3 linked regions of the Caenorhabditis elegans genome follow. The protein of the gene in region 2 purifies or fractionates together with the protein of the main gene of each other region. This does not show direct contact. Each region holds a gene or a part of one and is shown on either strand. Other genes may lie near its edges.

Region 1 (7,913 bases), on a different chromosome or scaffold from region 2:
GTTTTGAGAGCTAAAACCGTCAAGTAAAACGTGAGAAGTTTTTTTCTACTTTTTATTACTAGAATCTTTAGTCAATAATTATTGTTAAAAGAGCTTTTGAACTTTGAGAAAAATCCGTGATCAAACTCTACTTGCAAATAAAATTATGACCTGAGAATGAGCACAATAGATTATTTCCGTTACTGACAGGGCGTATTCAATTTTTACAAAATTTTAATAACTGGATCCATTTTAACTGACCATTATTATTATTGACATGATGACTCAAGCTGTGATGTTCCTGTTCTTTCAAAAACTTTCATAAACCTCCATTCTCGAATAACAACAACAAACCATTGGGACCACTATGGATAACCCGTATATAAACAGTGCCTAAAATTAGTTATCCATATTCAAAACATGTTCTTCCCCGTTGTATTCTTCATCCCTTTCGTGCTGGGTGCCCCGACTCAAAAGGCCCTGGAAAAGATTCTGGTGGACAATAATCCTGATTCAGTTACAAATCGAGAGAAGATTCGTGGAATTATCGATAAGGCGTTTGAGAATCGTGTTCCGAGGGTTCAAGGAAGACAAGGTGTTGCTCCTCCTGTTACTTTCGTAGGTTTTAGTTTAACTTACAATTAAATGTAGGTATCAAAAATACTCCAACCTTCAATGAAATTTTTATCCAAATAGTAAATTGTAAAGGTTATATTTCCAGGCTGCCTTAAACTACGGTCCAAAGAACAATCAGACAAAGAAATTTGAAGAACTGAATCAAGATATCAACGGCAAGTTTCTTCGATTTTTTGAGTTAAAAGAAACTGTGTTTTGTAGAATACACATTTGAATCTGACATCATGCTGAATGAGAAACAAGCCAAACACATTGCAACTGCAATTGAAAATGGAAATTATCGATCAAAGAGGCAAGCGATTGTAGATACTACCAATTTTTGGAGTGTCAGTGTTCCGATCTTTTATCAATTTGATACTAAATTATGTAAGTTCTAGTAAATTTTTTGTTTAAACTGGGAAAAAATATTCCAGCCGCCACCAACATAGCCAATGTCAGAAAAGCAATTCAATTTTGGAATGATAACAGCTGTCTGAGCTTCAAGGTTTCCAACAATCTATTGGTTCCTTTTTCAAATTATAATTTTTCAGGAAGACAATAATGCTAAAAACCGTCTCTTTTTATCATCTGCAGGAGGATGTTGGTCATATGTCGGAAAGCAAGTTGACATGCCATACCAAATGGTTTCAGTTGGGCCAAACTGTGATACGGTAATTTTTATTCATATTTAGACATTTTTACAGAAAACATTCAAGTGTTTTATGTCTTCCTATGAAGAGCTCTAAAAACAATTTATTTTCAGTTTGGTACTGCAACCCACGAGCTCATGCATGCCATTGGCTTCTGGCACCAACAATCACGCGCCGATCGGGATAACTACGTCTATGTGGACTTTAGCAATATCATTCCAAGTCAGGCATACAATTTTCAAAAAATGGCAGTGGATCAGGCACAGCTGTTGAATTTGCCATATGATTATGGAAGTGTTATGCAGTATTACCCATGTAAGAGCAAAAATTAATTTGAATTGGTAATGAAAATATTACAGATGCATTTGCTGTTGACTCATCGAAGTATACAATTTTGGCAAAGGAGAATGGATTCCAGAATAGTATGGGACAACGAGAGGCACCAGCATTTTCAGATATTATCGGAGTGAACAAGTTGTACAATTGCACAAGTAAGCACAATTGGGTGATGTGTCTTGTAATATACTCTTTGATGGGGTACTGTAGGGTTCAAAATTGGATAAACTTACTGTAGACGGACTGTAGACTGTAAAATGTAGCTATTACCAAGCCAAATTTTATTACTATTCATTTAGCCATTAAGCACTTTTCATTTTTTCCAGGCCAATGCAAGATACAAATGAAGTGTTCAAATTGTGGAATCACAGACTCCCGTAACTGTAATCAATGCAAATGTCCGCGCTATTTCACAGGAGCTAGCTGCGATAGCTTACCATCTGGTACTGCTCCAAATTGTAATGGAGCCGTGCTTCAGGTAGATTGAAACAACTTTTTGAGAACTAACAGAACATAATGCTTTCAGGCTACATCCTCTTGGGAAACCTTCGACGCAAAAGCCGGAGACCCATCCAGCTTCTCTTCTTCCACAGACAATTCGACCAATTGTTACTGGCATATCAAAGCTCCAGAAGGACAACAAATTGAATTCAAAATGACAAAAACTCCATTGGCAGCAATATGTATGCAAGAATGTCCATGGCAATCGATTGAAGTTAATCTTGGAAAGTTTGACTTATTTGGAATGATGTGAGTTTAGGGTATACTATTGAATTTTCAGTTCGAAAATTATTTTCCAGAACCTGCTGTGACACAATCCTAAACCAAGTGTTCACCTCTGAGCTTAATATGATTGCTCTTCGTGGAATAATTCGCTACAATCAGTTGACGTTTAGCATTCAATATCGAGCAGTGCCAAGTTCGAAGCCTGCTTCAACCAATGCTTGCTTGAACCAGTGAATTTTTTGGGATTGGGAATACTAATTTATTAATTTATTGACTTTTATATCTTAATCAAGGGTCTCATGTTTACTTTGATCTTTCCACTTGAAATGAATTTTTGTGTTATCTAAATCCAAAATGTGCTAAAAAAGTCAACTTCAAAATATGATGTTGTGTGTAGTGTGTTTGTGAAGTTACCACCAATACAAATCTATTTACATTCAACTTTAGGTGAAAGTTTTGAAAGCTTAAAAACAAATTTGAAGTTGTTGAAAACCTAATGAAAACCTAAACAGTAATTCTGATACAAGTTTTTAAACCACCTAGCTCAGAAATGACAATGGCTAACTTGTAGTCTATGTTTATCACAATCCAATAAACAAATATCATCCTATTTTCTGAACCGGATATCGCCGAAATCTATTGCGCATTTACTCTTGTTTGCTCTCAATCTTTTGATGTCTGCTCTGCTCGAAAAACGTTTATCTATCACTTTTTTATTATCACACACTAAAAATTGTAATGTCATCGAAAGTAGTTTCGTTCTAGGTCATTCAAATAATCCGAAAATTGCAGTATAGGTCACATGGAGGAAACGTGTACTTTATACTGTTGTTGCTACTACTTCTGCTAGCGGTGCTCCTGAATTTTACTACCCTTATCAGAACCGGTTTGTAAGGGGAAAAGAACAAAGAAGAAAAAGTTATCAGTCAATAGAACATAGTTTGTAAAACATAGGGTCTATTATGTTTCAGAGAGGAAACACCCATCAACTAGTCTATGATCGACTAAAGTTTTTGGTTTAATTAGTTATGCGAAGAATGCCAAAATTGGGAAAAAAGTTTCTTATAAAGTTCCCAGGTTATCAAAGTAAATGGTGAAATGGTACTGCCAAAATGTTCTTATAGGAAACATCTACAAATCCATTCGAACTTTTGTAGAGTTTCAAATGGAAATTACCATTATAGAACAAATCAATATGAGAGTAACCCGTCAATTACAGATCGAGTAAATTACAAATATTATAGGCTTATTTATAGCTTTACGCAATTGTCTTCGTATGTTTTCCTCAGATTTTTAATGTATTTCAACAACGCTTCGTGCAACAAAAAAAAAATAAAATCTACCCATTATAACTATATAGTCTCGTATTCTACATAGAGGGTACTTTGGGTTATCAGAGAAATTTTAAAATATTTTTAATTGAAAGAACATGATTGATTAAATAAATTTCCATACATACATTTATTTGCAACTTAAACAATATAAATTTCGCTCTGGAAAGATTTAAAACCTCAAACCTATAGGATGTGTACGTTCTTCCTGCTTCTCCTTTAACTGATTGTAAAGTTATCATCATTTTACCGACCAACTTAATTAAACGAAAAGATTTTTCCAATAAGACGTAAATTGGTTTCAACGAAATAATTAAAAAGTTGTGTACGTACATTCTCTCAAAATAGGTTTAATGCCGCATAACAGGAACTGTGCAAATTGTCAAAAATGCAACTCAATAAACAAATATTCTAACAGGAAATGATCGACTAAATATATATTTTATGTGAAACTCATATTTCAATCAGTGATCAAGTTTCAAATGATAACGGAACCGATTCATGTTTTACTTGACAGGTTTGCAAGAATTGCGGAAATTAAACTTTTTAATCCTCCCAAATCTTCTACGAAATTCGTTATCATTTTTTCTAAACCGGACAACTTTTCAAACCACATTCTTGCTACCACTTCAGTGTCCAAAAAATAAAAATCGAGTTCGGTTCGCCCTCTGCCCCAAAATTGTCATTTTCAGCACGTGTTTGCAACAAGTTTTCCATCGACGTCAATTGATTATAGAGTATATTTGGAGAGCAAAGGAAGTGGAGTAATTAGAGAAAGCACAGGGGAGTTTCAGAAAAAAAAAGAGAAAAGTTTTTGATAACGTCGCGGACATACCGAAGAGCAAGCATAATAGAGAAAATGGGTTGATGTCTGATAAGGAAAGAGCCCCGGGATGTTTGAAGGGGGTGGAGATTAATTGAAACGTATAAATGAGGAGCTTGGGAAGGAGTGGAAGGTCATATTTCTGATTTTCTGTTAGACTATAGTAGGGAAAAAACTCCGCTTTTGGTTATTTAAGGCCACGAACGGTTTTATAATTTCACCATTTATTCGTTTCAGTAGAAAAATACAGTTTAGCCGAACTCACGCTGTAGGCAGATCGTCATGATGTACACCAAGATTCATTTTAACTTGGGCTCGAGTCTAAACAGAAGTCCGAGCCTGATCCTACGCTTCTTAATAACCAGTTCCCCAAAGTTATTCTACTTGCATTCTACTCCCTTATCATCACTACTTATCACCATTTCACCATTCAAAACTGTCATTTTTTTCAATGAATTCTTGAACTTTCAGCCTCTCACAATGCTTCTCAGGTGTGTCATTCTCTCAGTTCTTTGCATCGCTGCCACTTCTTTTGTTCTCCCAGTTGTCGACAACTTGGCAGACTGTGCTGCACCAAATGGAACCGACAAAGTGATGCACTGGTGGCAGTGCTCATCTGGACCAGTTCAATTTTTGAATGCTACTCCATACGACTCTACCGGAAAACAATACGAGTACCCAATTCATTTGAGTCAGCCAATTGTTGTCAAGACTCAAATCAATAACCCAACGAGCACATATGTGTCGCCAAATCTTCGTAACACCGTCAATATCTGGAAGTATGGAGGATGGAACGGATGCACATGGAGCTCAATCCCAACTCTCGGTCTTTTGTAAGTTTATATCTTTAAGTTAATTCTAATGGATTAGAATGGGTGAACTGTTTAGGCTATTCTCGACTTCTAAATAATAAATAACGATTCATCTTCCAGGAAGGACCTTGACGCCTGCGCAAACGGAGTCCCATGCCCAGTCCGTCCAGGAAACCAAGAACTTGACGTCATCATTGACTTCACCAAGTTCGACCAAATCATCGCCTTACTCAAGGACAATCAGCCATATCAACTCGAGTACATCCTTCACGACAACCAATCCGGAGACACCTCATGCATGATGGTCCAGGCTTGGGCCTTCCTTAAGTAAAATGCTTTCCCATTTGGCGATTGGCTTTAAGATTTCTAATTATATTTGCACTATAACACGGGCGTATATTTTAACAACAATAAAATGTACATAATCTTGACTTTTTGTTGGTTTTTGTTCATTATCAATTTGAAGGAAAAATTTCCGAAATCGAACTAAAGTTGCGATAACATTTTGATAAAAAAGAACTATTCGCACTGGAAAATGTTGCATATTTGCCATTTTGGCAATGAACCAAAAATCAAACAAGTAAACAAGGAATCAGAAATTATTAATAATTTCCCGATTCAGTTATAGTTTGAAAACTGAGAAATTTCAATAAGTACCTAAAGTTGGAAGTATGAAGAATACGTGCTTGCACAGGTTTTTTAAAACTTTGTCTTTCCTTCAATTCATCGGATTTAATGATCAAAATAGAAGAAGAATATAAAAATCGCATAGACGTCAAAAATGAAAATTTTCTTCATATCTTATGAGTACAACGAGTTACTTTACCACGCGTCAATTTCTTAGGCCTCCATTGTATCATAATTTTATTTTAAAAAGCTTGGAATCAGTTATTCATTGTATTAGAAAAACATGGTGCAGTAGCGGCCTTCATATTGACACGTGTTACAGTAACCCGCTTTCCGCGTGGCGAGACCCATTTGCGTAAATTATGACGGAAACTCTCATCTTCTGACGTCTACGTAATATTAAGACGCTGATAAAGCTAAAGTTGCTGAACAAAGTAATGAAAAATAAAAATGTATGGTACCCAAGTTTTAAAGGCGCATAGCACGAGTGAGCAAAATTTTCAATCGTGGCGAGACTTCGAAAGGTGCATTTCTCAGGAATACTCAATATACATATGAAATTTTTTCAATGAAAATGAGTACTTCCTGTGGATATTTCCGGTTCTCTGTGACCTCTTTTTTATTCTAGAATCACAATTACATGCAAAAAACTATTAAAACGCGTGGTTTCTTCAAATTGCCATGTGCTTTGATATTTCTCTTATCGTAGTTTTTCCTATCGAATTTGATGATCATTTTGCAATTTAGTTTTCCATTTTCTCAAATTTCCCAGTTAACCAATTACAGATTCACTATTTTATTCCAACTTAGATCACATCCACTAGCTTTCGAAACGAAAAATTCTACTTCAATTCCAGATGCTTGCTCGTTGTCTGTGTCTCTTCGCCCTACTTGCTCTCTCGTCGGCATGCGATCAATGGCCGAATACTACAGAGACAAAGGTCAACTGGTGGCAATGCTCAAATGGACCAGTTATGGTGACCAATGTTAATCCAACTGATAAGAGTGGTTCGCAAGTTTTCTGATAGTTTCTACGAATGTATAATTGAATCCAGGTAACAGTGAATATCCAATCCGTCTTACTGAACCACTTCTCATTGCAACATCCATCAATGATCCATCCTCAACTTATACTACTCCTGGACTTAAACAAACTATCAAGGTCTGGTCATGGAATATGGCTACTTGTGGATGGTCTTCAGTACCAACTTTTGGACTTTTGTAAGATTTTTGCTTCTTACAGTAACCTACAGTAACCTTTTCCAGGAACAACATCGATGCTTGTACCAACGGAGTACCATGCCCAATTGAACCGAAAAACAAGGTCATCAATTTGGAACTCGACTTCTCTGATACTCCAGCTATCATCAATCTTCTCAAGGTTATTTTGATGTGTATTCTTCGAAAGTTAAACCCCCAATTTCAGAACGATAAGCCTTACCAACTCGAGTATCTTCTTCATGATGACCCGAGCAAGGAAGACCTTTGCATTATTTTCCAGGCTAGAGCTCTCACTCATACTTAAATTTTGAAGTGAACAATTTAATAAAGCAATAAACTTTTTTCTCAACAAAAATTATAAATTGAATTCTTAAATAGTGTAACAAAACGTGGAAACTGGGTGAAATATGGGAAACAACCGAATGCGAAACAAAACAGGAAAAATTTAGGCAGTGAGTTGAAGCTGCTTGTAGACTTGCTTTCTGTATTCTTCGAGTCCTCCCTCCAAAGTTGTCACCATTCGATCCTTCACAACCCAAAGTTCCTTGCACACAAGCTCGATGAGTTGCTCGTCGTGAGAAACTAAAACGACACCTCCATTGAAAACATTAAGCGCTTTTCCAAGAGCTTCAACCGTTTCGACATCCAAGTGATTAGTAGGCTCGTCAAGAATCAAGTAGTTTGGCCTGAAAAATACTATGAATTAGACGGAGTTTGAATAAATTTTTTTTTCTAGGAAAAAATGAATATTTTTTGAAAATGTTGCTATTTTCAAGCAAAACTCACTGCATCA
Region 2 (8,857 bases):
GATCTTGGCACGAGCTTCTACGAATGGCCAATCGAAGAAATCTCCATTGTAGGTGACAACAATATTTGGACGAACCTGCAAGAAAATGATTCTAATCAAATTCAGTTTAAAAGTAGAATTTACCTGCAAAAAATGATCGAAAAATTTCCGAATCAGAGCAGCTTCGTCCTTCTCATTCCAGACTGTGAATTCTCCTATGTACTCGGCTTTCGGTGTGTATTCGAACGCATTAATATCAGCCGACACGATTTCTCGGTTGATAATCAAAAATCCACGTCCATCAACCATATATGATATCATCATAATTTCATCGCTCTCACGATCCGGAAATTTCAACGGAAGTTTCGTTGTTTCAATGTCAAAGGCGAGAACTTTCGGCTTTGCGTGGAACAAGGGCAAATCTTTTCGCTTTATTGTTGGAACACGGTTCGGGCCAATTCCTTTCACATCGTACCTGGAAATTTATAAATTTAGAATTTAAAAAAGAAGAAAAGGATGATTCCAACCATAATCCGACGAAGATCTTTTCATCGATGGAAACTCTCATGTGAAAAGGCACGTCGTATTCTCTGATATCAACAATTTGATTCAAGATGTCACCATTCAACTGTTGATCCTTACTATCTCCTCCTTTTCCACTCAGATTCCTCGCCAAATAGTCAGCGTACGCCGACTCTTTTTTGATGCGATCTGTGTTTTTCCGCACCAGCGGCATTAATTCCTTACGGATTTTTATCAATTCCACGGTGCTGGTGAATGAGAGTTTGATATATGTCTTCTTCAACCCAGAAAGATGATCTTTCAAATCTAAATCCTCCCGATCCATATGTTCAACTGCTGTCTGGGCTCCGTACTTCTTGGACAGATAACTGGATACTTGGAATTCAAATCCATCCAACGTGGCAATATAGAAATACGGTCGAAATGGGTAACTGATTTTGAAGCGTTCGTCCATATCACTGATGAAGAAATAGTCAACGACCGAAATAATAACTTTGGTTTGCTCGTCGACAAGCTCCGAAGGTTGGATGTTTATCAGAAATCCTTTTTTCTCCTGTAGTCCTGTGTATCTAGAGAAACCAAGCTTCGCATCAATCTCATCATTTGATCTGATCAGGGCAAGCCGCTCTTTGTAGTTTGAATCACTAAAAAAAGAAGATTTTATACTTTCTCCATTCTTGAAACAAACTTTTCGACCGCCTGTGCAAGAATGTCATCCTTGGAGCTCATTGAGCTTGCTGGCGATGACCGAACTTGTCTGAAAATACTGAAAATCAAATAACTAAAGAAAAAACTAGATAAAATGGCAAATTTAAGTTAATTTCATGGGAAATCGAGTTTAAAATGCAAGATTTCGCGCGCTCGGCCAGAGGACGAGTTGGGTGGAATTCTAGGCCACCAGATCATAAAATGGAGGGAAGGAGCAGAATTTGAATTTTAAAGCAATACAATTGAATTTCCGAGAGGCACCACGGAGGCACCACGTTTTCAAGATTTGTTCAAAAACAAGATCTACGAAAACAAGATCCACCAAAACAAAATCTACCTTTTCAAGATCTACCAAAACAAGATCTACGTTTTCAGGATCTGGCACCGTGCCAACTGCGGTTTTCTCTACGCGTGCGTACGCGTGTTGCGTAAATTCTAGAAGAAAATTTCAAAAAATATTCGTTTGAACGCTAAACAACACGCGAACGTAACATCGGAGCATCGTTGTTTCGTTTTCTTCGAGAAAACCGCAGTTGGCACGGTGCCAGATCCTGAAAACGTAGATCTTGTTTTGGTGGATCTTGTTTTCGTAGATCTTGTTTTTGAACAGATCTTGAAAACGTGGTGCCTCGCACCACGGTATCAAGATCTGGTAAAATTCCGGATCTCCGTTTTCCGGATCTACCATTTCCGGATCTACGTTTTCCGGATCTGGCCAACTCTTAAAACGCTATTTTTCTCGGAGAAAAACGTGACAACGATGCTCCGTTGTTAAGCGTCGCGTGTTGTTAAGCGTTTCTTCTAGAAGAAATTTTCAAAAAACAACGTGCGTCGAGTGAATAAAAAAGCGTTTTGTGGGTTGGCACGGTGCTAGATTCGGAAAACGTAGATCCGGAAATCGTATTTCCGGAAAACGTAGATCCGGAATTTCACCAGATCTTGAAACCGTGGTGCCTCATTTCCGACAATATTATTTAGCTGACATTAGACAATTATTAAATTCAAATAAATATTTTTATTCTGTTAAAAATTACAACAATCATCTTACAAATACATATTTTTCACAATCTAAACAACTTCAGTATCCTTGACTCCATATTTCTTCAGTTTCTCGTATGCTTTCTTATGAATAACCGCGTCATCAGAAGTCACAACTGGCATTTTGAATGATTGTTTGAATGCATCAAGTGCTTCGGCTTTTTGTCCTAGTTGTTCGTACACTTCGCCAATGTAGTAGGTATTCGTACTGTAGAATCCGGGCTGAAAATTTGAATTTAACTATAATGATCTGAATTTTTCGTGGCACTATTTACTTCCCAAGTGGAGGAAAATGTTCAAAGTGTAAAAAAATTTGGTCGACAACTTTTCATTTTTGTATGTTTTTGATTGACTATGAGAGATTCACTAAAAGTGTTTGAATTCTGATATTTTTTTACCGAAATCTGTTCAGCCTTTAGGAAATAGTGTAGAGCCTCCTGATATGTGGATGCTGGTGGAGTTGCGAAAATAGCTTTGGCCACCATTCGAGTCGCGTAACCCATATTGGCGAAGGAAAAGTGCCAGACTCCTGAAATTTGAGGTTTTCTTTTTAATTCTCGAAGCGAAATGCAGAAATATCTAAAAAAAATAATGGTTAAGCACCGCCCGCCCCCGTTGATTGAACGGTGAGCTGTAGAGCTTTAATTCGGAATAAACACGGGGTGTCAGAAAGTCTCATTGCGGTTTGATCTACAAAAAATGCGGGAATTTTTTCCCAGAAAATTTGTGACGTAAGCACACTGTTAACCATGCGAAATCAGTTGAGATGTCTACGTCTCACCTCCCGCATGTTTCGTAGATCAAAGCGAAAAGGGACCGTCTGACTCCACGTGAATAAATTCTAACATGATTTTTCTTTTTTTTTCTCTGTTCAATCCGGAATCCCTTACCCAAAATATGCCACGTTGTTGGATCGTTCTCGAAAATCGATAACGCCTTCTCTAAATGTTTCCGCACTTGGAATGATTTTTCGATTCTCGATTTGTTTCCCTCGATCTCTCCAACGTAATCCAGTAGAATGGCATACCTAAAGATAGCCATGTGGCATAGAAAATGCTAAAACTCAGCCGCCAAAAAAGGCAGGTGCTCAGTTTTCGATTTCCACCCTCAGTCATAGTTTTTTTTTCTCGCAAAATTGTGTTGTTCTACCCGGAATAAATAGCGTTTTAACTCCAAATCGTACCATTTATGTGCTCCAAAGCATCCATTCTTTGGCTCATTGTCAAGAGCTTTTTTCACAATTCCATAGGCTTCCAAAATGAGCTCTTTTCGTTGATTTTGATCTTTTGAGAGTTTTCCTTTCTCACAAACCACACGTGCCAGACGCCATAGAAGCTCGGAGCAATTGGAATTTTCAAATCTTAAAAATTGGAAAGAAAAGTTAAAATGGACATTTCTAAAAGTTAATTGAAAATTCACTTTTTCAAAATATTATAACAATTATCGATTAGATAATTATCATAAAGTTCATCCGAATTTCGAACAATTAAATCGAAATTTTTCGGTTTTCCATCAATTAATTGTCCATTTCCTGAGTCCAAATTCTTGTTCTCTTCAGTTTTTCCAAAAAATGCGATTCCAAGCGAGGTTCCACCAGTGATTGCAATTAATTTCGGAAGTTTTGGAGAAGATGTCGGGCGGCGAGAGAAATTCGAAATAAAACGGAGATTGAATACTCGTTTGAACATTTTTTTTCTTCAGAGGCTGCAAAAATTAGACAATTTTAAATAAATTATAAATATTGAAACAAAAATATATTATTAATTTCGATGGCCTTTTTCCAAGTACATAGGTAATTTTTCAAAAAACTCATACTCAAAGACGCATTCACTGAATTATTCCAACCCCCTAATTCCGAATATCTTTAAATTTTTTAAACTAAAAAAGCCTTAAATTTATCGTTTTTTTTTTCGAAAATTCGGATTTTCATCGAGTTGTGATTTGGATATAATAAAATGTTCAATTGACACGGAAAAAACAATTTTCCAAATAATAACCAAAAAAAAAGTTTTTGAAAAAACATGACAGATGGTGAAAAATCCCGTAAATCGACACAGCACGGTGCGCCCCAATGAGACTGCCTCTGGCGCGTTAAGTTTTGGGTGCGAGATTTCAAGCTGAAATATTAAATCCGAGAAGTTTTTTTTTAATTTCACAAAGATATTCGGAAAGAGTCATACGCCAAAACCTTTTTCGAACAAAATGAAAATTTGAAAATTAATTTTGAACACTCGAAAGGGAAAAATTTTGCGTTCAAACTGGTTCCAGGCAAGTTTTAGAAAAATTCTCGTAGGCTACTGAGAACGCTATAATGTTGTCAGCATTTCACAGTTCAAAGTACAAGTGGTGTAAAGGTAAACACTGATAAGTGATAATGAGAGAAGAGAGAAAAAGTTCGGCCAAGCTTTATGAAAATCGATTTGAAAAAAGGGGTAAAAACAATGCATTAGGGAGATTCTAACTTTTAAAAAAGACGTCTAAAAATTGTTTAAGAAAATGAGGAAAAATCATAAATTTTACACGTAAAAAAGATAAGGGGCGGGGGTTTTAATCGAAAAAAAAAAGTTAGAAAAAGTTTAATTCATTCACAAAAATTCTCTTTTTTTGCTTTCTCAACAGCGTGTCGACGCTGGATGAATTCGCGAAAATTCGCATTAAATTCTTTAAAACTCGGATAGCTTTTCAGTTGAGCACGAATCCATTTTGAGACACGAGCAGACGAGGCTCCGCCCACAAGATTTCCAGTTTGACGTTCTAGGCGTTCATCGATCATTAGCATTGCTCCCCAGTCGTTTTTGTGCCGGAGACATCTGAAGATTTAATGAATTTTAGATTGTAGTGAAATTTGGCCAGATGGTTTTTCTACTGATTCCCTTATTTCACGTGATATTATAGATTTGATATTACGGGAACACTAAATCCTGAGAATGCGTATTTTACAACATATTTGACTCGCAAAATATCTCGCAGCGAAAATTACAGTATTTCTTTAAAAGTAGCGCTTATGCCGATTTACGGGCTCGATTTTATTTTCGAATTTGGACAGTGATATTCAATTTTCCTTCGTTGTTCGTATTGTTTAGTCATTTTTGTACTTAAAAAAATTTTATTCATTAACCAACTGTTTTAATAGAAAAAAACGTGTAATATTGCCTTCATTTTGATGAGGAAACTCCTATTTACAAACGTATTTTTACATTATTTCCCGTCTATTGCAGGTTTTCCAGGTGAAACCCGGCAATAGACGGAAAATAATGTAAAAATACGATTGTATGAGTTTCCTATAAGGCAATATTGGACGTTTTTCATTTAAATATTTTTTTTTAACACAAAAATGACAAAACAATACAGAAAAAAAAAGACAAATTAAATACTGCTGTCAAAATTCGATTAGGAAATTCGAAAATCGAGCCCGTAAATCGACACAAGCACTACGGTAGTCATTTAAAGGATTACTGTAGTCTTCGCTACGAGATATTTTGTGCGTCAAAAATGTTGCGCAAATTTCAGAATTATGTGTTACAGTAGAAAATTGCTGTGTTTTGAACATTTGTAGCATAGCATAACATTTTTTAAATAAAAAAAACGTAGTTTTTATTCCACGCGGCTTTGTATATATATTCACCTTCCCAAAGCCTGATTCAATGCTCGATAGGCCTGCGTGGTATACCACTCATCGCCAGTCAAAATCCCCTTTTCCTTGGAATTCTGATCATTATACAACTTTTTCGCATTCACTTGATCATCCATCGCATTTGGATACGGAATTCCGACAGAAATCACCACACGCGCACGATCATCGGCAAAATCAATGCCCTCGGAAACTTTTCCACGAAAAACGGCAAACATAAGAGATCCGTTGATGTTTGCACCGAATCTAGACGGATCGAAGATCGCCGCATCGAATTGATCCATTACTGATGTTAATTCTGAGGATCTTCGCGGCTCGTAGAGCACAACTTTTTTCATTTCGATTTGTCGCATTGTTGAATTACGGATCATACATTGTTTTAATTGATCTAGAACTCGATAGCTGGGGAGAAAACATAGAATTCCTGCTGGCACGTTACTGCATACATACCTGCAAAAAATGAGCTGATTTCTTAACATTCGAAAATTTTCCAACAATTGGAACATTTTTCAAGGCTTTTGTAACTTTTTATAAAAAATTAGACAAAAACTAAGTTTTCCGATTTGAATTTTCAGAAATTATATTTGTTTTAAACAAGTCTTGATTTAAATAACCTAAACAAAATTTGACATTTTTGTTGAAAATCTATTCATTTTTTTCAAGTCTCTCTGAAAGTAGAAAATTCGAAAAATAATCCGCCAACGTACTTGATAATTGCTCCAAGCTCGCAATAAAATGAAGATTCCGGATCTGACGTGTTGCGGTACGTGCACTGAATGCGATTTCCAAAGGGACCCTGGAATTTTTAAATCAATTAAATTAATAAGGCTTTCCTTTTTATTTTGGTAGTTTTTAGACCGTATTTTCGAAAATAAACCTTGTATGCTAGCCGGAGACTTATAGGACGAATGACATACTTTTTCAATGCTAGCATTAATGCTAAGTAAATTAACATAAATTTGCATCAAAAATTTTAAATCCTAATTCCTGCCTCATTTTGGTTTGATCTTCGAGAAATGAGAAGAGACGCAGACTTTTCAACTGATTTCGCATGATGAAGAGTGTGTTGACGTCACATTTTTCTGGGGTAAAATTCCCGCATGTTTTGTAGATCAGCCTGCAATGAGACTGTCTGACAACACGTGCCCTGTCATCTCTTTAAGAAATAAATTTCATTCGTTCGGTAATTCTCAGGGCACCACACGACGCTACCTAACCAAATGTTTTCCTTACAATTGGCAAAACCGCTGCGAAAATGTTATCCTTATTAATGACTTGATCTCCTTCTACTTGTTGCTTGAATTCCATTCCTAATTCGGTTTTCAAAGTGTCCATTGGGCACAGAGTACCCGATGCGAGGACTATAGAACGTGTTTCGTTGAATGCGTCGAAGAAAGACTGAAATTTCGATTTTCACGCTTGAAATTTAATTTTTGTATTAGTTTTATAGAATTATAGGACTTATATTGTACTAACCAATGCTGGACTCATACACCACAAGCTGATCGTAGTCTTGCAGCCCTCTGAAATCGGTTTATGACCCGTCTCTGACATTGACGGATCCTTCCAATCGTCTCCGTCAGCTGCAGCATCTGCTAGCCTGAAAATTGAAACACATTTTTTCATATTTTTAAAAATTGCTTTGAAAACCATGCGTTCTCCTCCTTGTACTGCATGTTTCTGGGTCCCGCCGAGCTTCTTGTCGTTGTTGGTCTTGGATTTCCAAATGAAGTCGACATCGAGACGTCTGCGTCAAAAGTATGATTGAATCGCCCATTTTGATTTATCGGCTCAATAGAGATGTTTAACCTGAAATTGTAAATTTTTGTAGTGTTCGAAAATCCAGAAACCGAACTTTCGTTAATGTTTCGAAAATACCTACCTATACGTGGATTGGTACTGCTGATTTCCAAAATATGACTGAAAATACAACCATTTCTCTATGCAGACTATCGCTGTAGAGCTTGGCTTGAACGCGTCAAAGTACTGCATTTCAGGCTCATTATGCTTCGTAATCGCACTGAAAGACGCCTGAAATCAAAGAAAATTCAATTTGTGATTTAACTTTAAATAATGATTTTTTTGAACAAATTAGAAAATTTTCGAAAGATTAAACATTTCTCGAATTTTTTTTGCGTGGAATAACGGAAGTTTTAGTTATTTATATTTTTAATCGTTTTTTTTCTATTCTCTAATACCGAAATCCAATTAAAAATTTGATACGCCATCAGCCACACCGCCCTGATACCAATTACGTACCGCCACTGCTGCATGTTTGGGTGTCAGTGGTGGTGTGAACAGATCGACACCATTTTCTGGATCGGTCAATGATGTAAAAAGATTTGCAGACGATATTGTGCATGTCTTCACACCATCCTGACCACCTCTAGCCGGCGTTTTCGCCTCCGTCGACACTTGTCGGATCCATCGAAGCATCTCAAGGATCAGGTGTTCAAGGTAGAGAAGATGTCCACGGAATTCTTTTAGATGCACTTCTCGATCTGGAATGTGGAGAAGCTTCTCTTCGATGCCGGTTTTATCCAATTCCGTGTCAACTGCTTTTCCTGTAATTTGAATTTTAGGAAAATTTCCTCACATTTCGGCAGTTTAGTTTGTTTTTTTGTATGTTTCACTCAAAATTCTAAACTATCGAAGAAACTCCGACGAGACAAAATTTGTTAATTCATTATAGCTATTATGTTACATTCTCTTTTTTTCCAGTTAAATCTCACAAACTTTTAATTCTCAGCGACAATATCGAATCATCGAGCTCTTTCTCGGTGAACGAGAAGCTTGCCGCTTCTCTGCACGTGTCTTCGATGTTATGAGCTTCATCCAAAATGACAATCGAGTTTCTTATCTGAACATCTGACGAATTTCGAATCAATGGGTCCACCAGATACGAAAATGGACAGAAAATGATGTCAGCGTCTTGGGTGAGAATTCGGTTTGTGCTGAAGTAGGGACACAGCTGAGGAT
Region 3 (7,347 bases), on a different chromosome or scaffold from region 2:
CTTGACACCATGGTGATACTAATTATAGGAAGGAGAGACCCTCTCCTATCACTTGCATTTCTTTGTTTTCAAAAAAAGAAAACTATAGTAGAAAAATGTGAAGAAAAAGTCGAAGAAGGACCACCTAGAAGAAGTCGTACATTAGGACCAAGCAACCGCACTTTTGATGACGGTGTTCACTCGAGTAGAAAACATTAAGCAATTGAAAATGACGGATTTGTTACGCCCCTCTTCAACTTATTCCTGATTCCATCTTTTATTTTAGGATACTTTGCAATTTGATTTGGGGAATGTTTGTAGAAAAGCATACACATAAATAAAGAGCTTCGGCAATTGGAAAGGAAGTTTAGCCTTCGAAAGTGAAAATATTGTCCAATTTTATTATGTTTTTTTAATTAAAATTGTACAACTTAGATTATATACTATGAAGAATATCATGCTTTGCCAAGATTGAACTAATTGAGTAAATCAAATGTGCACTCTGAATTAGTATAGTTGACAGCATCAGATCTTCTGCATATACACATTTGAGGTGTCAGTCAAATGTGTAATAATTTTTTTTGAAACTTCGTTTTCTTTATTCTTTTTCTTTTTCTTTTTTTCAAAATTTATTTCCCAATTGTCGAGCCAACAATCAAATTATGCCACAATCTCTGAGCATCAGCTGACAATTAATCATTTTGTGGTCGCTCTTGACACATCTTCCCCGCCGAAATATGTTTCTTCATTCATTGTATAACTTATAACAGGTGTCTTATTCTATTGCATTCCAACAACATTAGAAATGTAAAACCTAGTTTGATTAATGACTTGATGCTCCCCTCATCAATCAAGAAGAGAGATTACCAATAAGCTGCCACCATGCCATACACCAATTAATTCATTCTGTTCTTTTCCAGGGAGGAGCCATCTTCATGTGTATTCGGTTTTTTCAAAGCCAGCGACAACGTGGAGAATACGAATTGGAACATCGATTCGAAAGGGGTCCGTCTGGTCGCGTGCCGGTCGCTCAGGCAACCCATCAAAAAATCAACAAGAATCCCATCACGTAACGACTATGAGCCGATTGGCGAGTGTGTAGATGTTATTGAGACTGAGAGAACGGGTTTGGATGGATCGGTTCCTTCATTGGTTTCAGGTACTTTTGAAGTGATAGTTTAAATGTGGGAACAGAACAAATAAGCGTATAAACAAACAAATAATCCAAGTCTGAGAGTGAGAAGAAACGCAAAGTAACACTTATGAATAATAAGAAAGTCATTAGGAAACAATTTTCTCAGAACACAACATTCGTGTAATTCTAAAACACTGTGATATACTGTTTAACTAGGTTCGAGCGGGGAAACTGTGACCTACTGAACAAAACTTTCTAACTTCTTCCAACATTCATTTCAGGACCTTCCACATTTTTACATTTTCCTGCATCACCTGCCCCAACATATTCCTTTCGGGAAGATGATTGTCAGACCGATATTGAAATATCTGAAGATGACGATGATCCAACAATAACCCTATCCAATTGGCGTCATTCATCTCCAACTCTTTCAATTTGTACTCCAATTCTTACTACTCGTCGATCGACTTCTTATTCATCAATACCAACCATCGATCGTACGATTAGCGAAGACTCGATGCTGGTGATTAAACGTTTGTAGTTTTATTTCTTTAAGACAATTTATTTATTCAAAAACTCTTCATTCATTACGGGTAGATAAATTTTCTAGTTTTTCCATTCTATCAACATAGACCCAATGCTTCTTTCCTTTTCTTTTTACCGTACGATTTCCAAAACATTCTGCCAATTTGTCATTTGCTATATATTTCCTCCATAAATGTTTCCCTTTTTTCCTTCATCCCAATCCTTTTTTTTCTGGTAATAATAAATTCCTTTTCTGGGCAAAAAGCAACAAAATGTGAGCCAAAAAAGGCGACTGATGATAGATGGTGATGATTTGAATGTGACTGGAAGGAGGAGAAGAAGACGTCGAAAAAAGCGGCAAGCTAAGAAGAGTGATGGTGTACATGGGACGATGTGGAACAACTAATCCAGGAATGAAATGATAGTCAACCACTGACATGTTATTCACTTGAAAAAATAGTCCCTTAAAGGGAAATGATATGGTGAAGTTTAATAAAATTCCCCAGAATACTCCACTTTCAAAAAGTTTCAGGAAGTCTTATTGGATAATTCAAAATTCCTTCATGGCAAAGTTTTTATATATATTTGTAATGGATTGTGCAAACATGAATATTAACAGTTTTATTTATTTTGTTATCATTTTGTCATAGCCTAGGTCAATCTCGGTAGACGATAGGTTTTCAAAATAATCAAACAAATGCATCTGATTGTTTAACTTTTTGTACGTTTTTCATATACTCTGATGATTCAGATCAATTTGATCTTTTTAGAAGAATGTTCAAAATTTCCACACTTCGAAATCCTGTTTTCACAATTCATTTCATCCATTTTTATGAGTTGGAACGATAAGAAAAGAATCTTAACGATGAAAGTGTCAACTGTTGTTACTGACTCATTCACTTGTTGTGACGGAAACTGATCCGAAGGTCGGAAAATTTTCAAGAATAACACAAAGTTTGTAGAGTATAAAAAGAGCTGAAGAATCTGTAAGGCCTCAGCCTTTGAAACGTTATTCATTTAACTCACAGAACGTATATTTTATATCTGATGTTTAAATTTTTTATTATGCGTTGTAATATTCTGATAATAAGACCGTTTTTTTTTCTAGTCCTAAAAATTATTAGTCGCCTTCAAGTTCGCCTTCAAATTGATTGTTTTAAAACCTGTTTCAATCTTGAGCACACAATCTCGTCTTTTGTGAATTAGAAATAATAATTCATCAAAAATATAGAAGGTGTTTTTGATCAGTTAAAAAAATTCAAAAAAGAAAATTTCCGCTCTATTGATTTCTTACTTTCCATCACAACATAATTCAATTAAGATAGGGACTATAAAAGTTTGCTTGGCCACAAAATGGCATAAATCGGTTTCAGATAAGACACATTCGATTCACCTCTTTTCTTATTTACTAAACTCTTATTAGCGGTAAAGCTAACTACACATACACGTAATTTTTTTGAGGCATAATTATGTATTATCAGTAATTTTTGGAACTCTAAAGTACTCTAATTTATCAATTAAATTATCTTTCCAACTAAAAAACGACATATTAAAAATCGACTAAACATCCTGTAAACTTCACATCTATCAGTAAAAAAAGCTACGCGCCTCAAAACACGACCTTCTCAATCCCATCATTGTGAACTTTCATAGTGTTCTCACATTGATCTTAAGAACAAATAAACTTCCTGATTGTTCCATTTTCAATACTTCTCCAAATGACATTCTTTGAACAGTCTAAGGAAACGAATCCTCATTTTCTAGTTCCGTGTTCCAACTCTGTAGGATTTTTTGTATAACTCTGATAACAAGAAGGATATTTTCTCTCACTCTAGCCAACAAACAAATGATAAAAACAAAGTGATTGATTGCAAAGTGGGCTGGGCGTTTAGTTTAACCAGCGGAGGTGCTTACCCTATTTTTTTCATTCGAAGGCAGTATCTTCTGGCTGACGACACTATTTATTGTTGTTCCAAGAGAAAGGTTTCATCACTTTAAGATTTTGTGCTTTTTCTTTCAATTGTTCTTCTGAATTTCGTGTCAATTCACAAAACTTTTTTCATTCTTGAAAATTAAATAAAATTTCAGAAAATGAACCGCTTCATTCTTTCCGCTTTCCTCCTTGTTGCCATCTTTGCCATATCCGATGCTGCCGTTGCTCAACAGCAGGTTAAGGTTTGTTGTAACTCCTATTTGAAAAATAACAAAAAATCATTTTCAGGACGGAGAAAAAGTTGAAATCGATGCTTTCAAGGGAGCCAAGGCAATCAAGAGAACCGTTGCCGGTGGAGATCAAATCTTCCACCTTGACGGAGATAACAAGGGATCATTTGTTGATGCTAAGGGAAAGAAGATTGAGTCAACCAATTATGAAGCTAATAACGGAATCCTTATCATTAAGAAGTTCACCAAGGCCGATGTTGGAACCTACTCCGAGCACCCAGCTGTAAGTTTTCAGTGGGAGAAATAATTAGAAATGTTTTATTTCAGAAAAACACCGAAACCAAGCACGCTGATGGATCCATCTCCGCTGTTCCAGGACTCACTCTTGATATCTCCCTGCAATAAACAAATTTCATTCGGAATGTGTTCTAATAATTTCTCTAAATAAAATTTTTAAAACAATTTCGTGCAAACTTTGCAAAAATAAACAAAAATGTGAGTCAGAACAGAAATAGGCGTGACCTCTATTCAGTCAACAGGTGACCAATAAATCAAGTCTCATTCGTCACTATTTAATGGGTTCTAGAGATGTTTTCTTTCTTCATTCTTTTTTCTCTCAAAATCATCTGAGAAAACTTTGTTTCAGGAGCTTTTTGAATTGTTTTCAATAAAAGCTTTCCTTAAATTTTTTTTATCATTTTCAGAATGAGCCGGTTTTTGATTTCTTCGTTTATACTGATTGCCTTTGTTCTTCAGTTTGGAGAAGGATCAATTGCAGTTCAAGAAGTTAAGGTTTGTAAAGTTTTTTATCTGACAATAGTTTAAAAACTGTTGTTCATGCTTCTACAGGAAATTTTAAATGTATTTCTCAAAACTACTCGAAACTTCAAAAGTTTTCTTATTTTGAAATACCAAGTAGTATTTTACAAATTCCATTTTAGGATGGCGAAAAAGTGCAAATTGAACTTTTCAAAGGAGCCAAGGCAATCCAGAGATCCGTTGACGCTGGCGAACAGATTTTCCATTTCGAAGGAGAAAACAAAGGAGTGTTTGTGGATGCTAATGGAAAAGCTATTGACTCGTCAAATTATGAAGAGAATAACGGACATTTGGTCATCAAAAAGTTCACAAAAGCTGATGTTGGATCATATTCTGAATATCCAACGGTATTGAATTCCTGAAATTCCCGAATTGAAAAAGTATTAATTTCAGAAAATTATCAAAACGAAAACGGATCATGGATTTTCTGGAGTTGCCGCGCCAGTTCTCAAACTTTCTCTTCAATAACTTTTAAAAACTGTTTCAATAAATTCTTTTAAATAACAATAAATTGTTTGCAATATTTCGTAAAAACCTGTTTGAAGGAATTATTTAACCATTATTTGGAAAAGAAATTTGAATGTAGTAACTGTTTCACGCCCACAAAAAGTTCTGTTAAAATATCTCCAGAGCAAATTCCGCACTGATCTGTTAAATATTTTCTGTAACACTATTTCTATTTTTACTATTTTTTTCGGCTATTTAAAATTAAACCGCAAGACAAATAGGGAAATTAGTGTGATTTTTAATTCCAATAAGGCGAATCTTATAGTAAGTTTTTTTCTTATTCGAAAGTACTACTTTACTGATAAGAAAATGAAAAATCATTCAACTTGCATCGATCATTTTCCTCGTTTCACCTGAAAATATGACATGAATATAGAGATAAATATGTCAATTTAGCTACAGTTTTACCAATATTCATTGAACTTCACATCATAATTTCTCAATATAAAACAGGAAATTCAGAAACTCATCAATTTTTTCATTTTCAGAATGGTTGCTGATGGTAAGAGGAAACGGCAGTTTCATTCAAGAACAAATGCACTAGAAGTAAGCGTTCTTTTAGTATTAAATGTTTCATCAATTTCCTAAATTTAAGTTTTAAAAATTCGATGATGTCCTACTCCCTAGTGTTTTTAATCTGTTTCAAATTCTTGCTATAATTGAATCCGTTTTCAGGTATTGGATGGTATTGACCTTTCTGGTAAAACATTTGCAATTACTGGAACAACATCTGGGATCGGAGTTGAGACTGCTAAAGCATTGATTTTAAAAGGAGCTCACGTTGTAATGATAAACAGGAATTATACAGCATCTGAAGCATCGAAGAAATCTCTCCTAATTGAAACTCCAAATGCTCAAATTGATATTGTTCAATGTGATTTGAATTCACTATCATCTGTGAAGAAGGCAGCAGATGAATACTTAGAACAGAAATGGTAAGCGATAAAGTTGATACATTTAAAAACTTAAAATGATCTAAAGAGTTCCGAAAAACCGAAGTTAGAAATGGAGAAATATTTTGGTGTCTCTATATTCAAATTTTCTCTGAGACAAGACGGGTTTTAATCAGAGATCTAAAATTTTAGTGAAATTTTGAAAACCCATGTTAAGTTATTTCCGTTTTAAACTAATATCCTCCAAACTCATCACTTAAATATTGTATTTTATTAATCCTGCCTCCCTTATCTTTGATCTATTCTTAGGCCACTCCATGGATTAATTTTGAATGCTGGAGTTTTTGGTCCAAGTGAAAAAACAACATCCGATGGATTTGAAGCTCATTTTGGAATCAATCATCTTGCTCATTTTATTGTATGATTTTTTACAAAAAAAACCCGATCTTAACTGAATTATTCTTGCAGTTAATTAAGGAGCTTCTGCCAGTTCTTCGAGAATCAGCACCATCAAGAATTGTAATAGTTACATCAATGCTCAGCAAGCATACATGCGTCAAACCTGATTCCAGAATTGTGGAAAAGCTTGACACACTTTGTCCAAAAGAAGCAACTCAATGGTATTTCCGCCTGTATGCAAAATCAAAAATGTGTAACATTCTAACCGCATTCAAATTGCATCGAGATGAATTTAAAAATAGAATAAGTGTTTATGCAGTTCATCCAGGATCTGGAGTTCGCACAGATCTTCATAGAGATTTTGGTTTATGGAGCATTGCTGACTTTCTATCAATCCCATTTACAAAGAATGCAAGCCAGGGAGCAGCAACAAGTCTTTATTGTGCAGTACATCCTGAAGTGAAAGAACTGTCCGGAAAGTATTGGGAATCGTGTTGGGATGATGAAAAGAATTTGGACAAAAAAGTTTCAAGAGACGAAGAACTTCAAGAAGCTTTATGGGAACATTCAGAAAAACTTATCATGAAGTATTTGGACTCATAAAGTTAGATTTTAATTATCGATAACTTTTCTTGAAACATTGCTCAAAATAAAATTTTATTTATTTTTTCGCCTTTTAGAGAAAAAGAGGAGATATTTACAACTTTAAACTCTTCATATTTCTCTAAGCTAATTTTTTTTAAACTTGAGGTAATATTTTAAATACGAGTCTCGCTATAATAATAAAAATTCAGCCAATTGAAATATAAAAGTTAAAAAAAAAATATATTTCCTATTTAATTATACCTTCGACACCAGTTTCGGGTTCCAAAAAATTGGTACCTGAAACGAAAATTTTCGCTTTCTCAAAATTGCTTACTATCTATT

What was found.
Region 1: the proteins of F33H2.6 (region 2) and F42A10.7 fractionate together in Caenorhabditis elegans (co-fractionation; one large-scale study listed by BioGRID). This does not show direct contact.
Region 3: the proteins of F33H2.6 (region 2) and E04F6.8 fractionate together in Caenorhabditis elegans (co-fractionation; one large-scale study listed by BioGRID). This does not show direct contact.

What each region holds. Positions count from the first base shown.
Region 1 is NC_003281.10:6,175,705-6,183,617, reverse strand, and holds F42A10.7 (MD-2-related lipid-recognition domain-containing protein), read left to right. Parts: upstream 1-4,931; 5' UTR 4,932-4,940; coding exon 4,941-5,293; intron 5,294-5,392; coding exon 5,393-5,603; 3' UTR 5,604-5,702; downstream 5,703-7,913. Other genes in the region: Zinc metalloproteinase nas-28, read left to right, coding at 400-597, 701-770, 817-981, 1,029-1,099, 1,146-1,265, 1,358-1,559, 1,604-1,735, 1,907-2,058 and 2 more; F42A10.6 (MD-2-related lipid-recognition domain-containing protein), read left to right, coding at 6,757-6,907, 6,955-7,120, 7,166-7,280, 7,326-7,424; abcf-3 (ABC transporter domain-containing protein), read right to left, coding at 7,566-7,806, 7,907-7,913.
Region 2 is NC_003279.8:15,012,645-15,021,501, forward strand, and holds F33H2.6 (Regulator of microtubule dynamics protein 1), read right to left. Parts: upstream 3,952-8,857; 5' UTR 3,936-3,951; coding exon 3,667-3,935; intron 3,608-3,666; coding exon 3,431-3,607; intron 3,275-3,430; coding exon 3,138-3,274; intron 2,777-3,137; coding exon 2,646-2,776; intron 2,470-2,645; coding exon 2,278-2,469; 3' UTR 2,210-2,277; downstream 1-2,209. Other genes in the region: pole-1 (DNA polymerase epsilon catalytic subunit), read right to left, coding at 1-75, 124-454, 507-1,145, 1,190-1,230; dog-1 (Helicase ATP-binding domain-containing protein), read right to left, coding at 4,829-5,057, 5,873-6,328, 6,586-6,674, 7,112-7,276, 7,355-7,478, 7,529-7,687, 7,761-7,909, 8,138-8,442 and 1 more.
Region 3 is NC_003280.10:7,208,540-7,215,886, reverse strand, and holds E04F6.8 (Cuticle protein), read left to right. Parts: upstream 1-4,506; 5' UTR 4,507-4,507; coding exon 4,508-4,594; intron 4,595-4,743; coding exon 4,744-4,968; intron 4,969-5,014; coding exon 5,015-5,089; 3' UTR 5,090-5,136; downstream 5,137-7,347. Other genes in the region: E04F6.10 (uncharacterized protein), read left to right, coding at 900-1,052; E04F6.9 (Periplasmic protein), read left to right, coding at 3,731-3,814, 3,861-4,085, 4,130-4,207; E04F6.15 (DeHydrogenases, Short chain), read left to right, coding at 5,618-5,674, 5,804-6,063, 6,331-6,439, 6,490-7,023.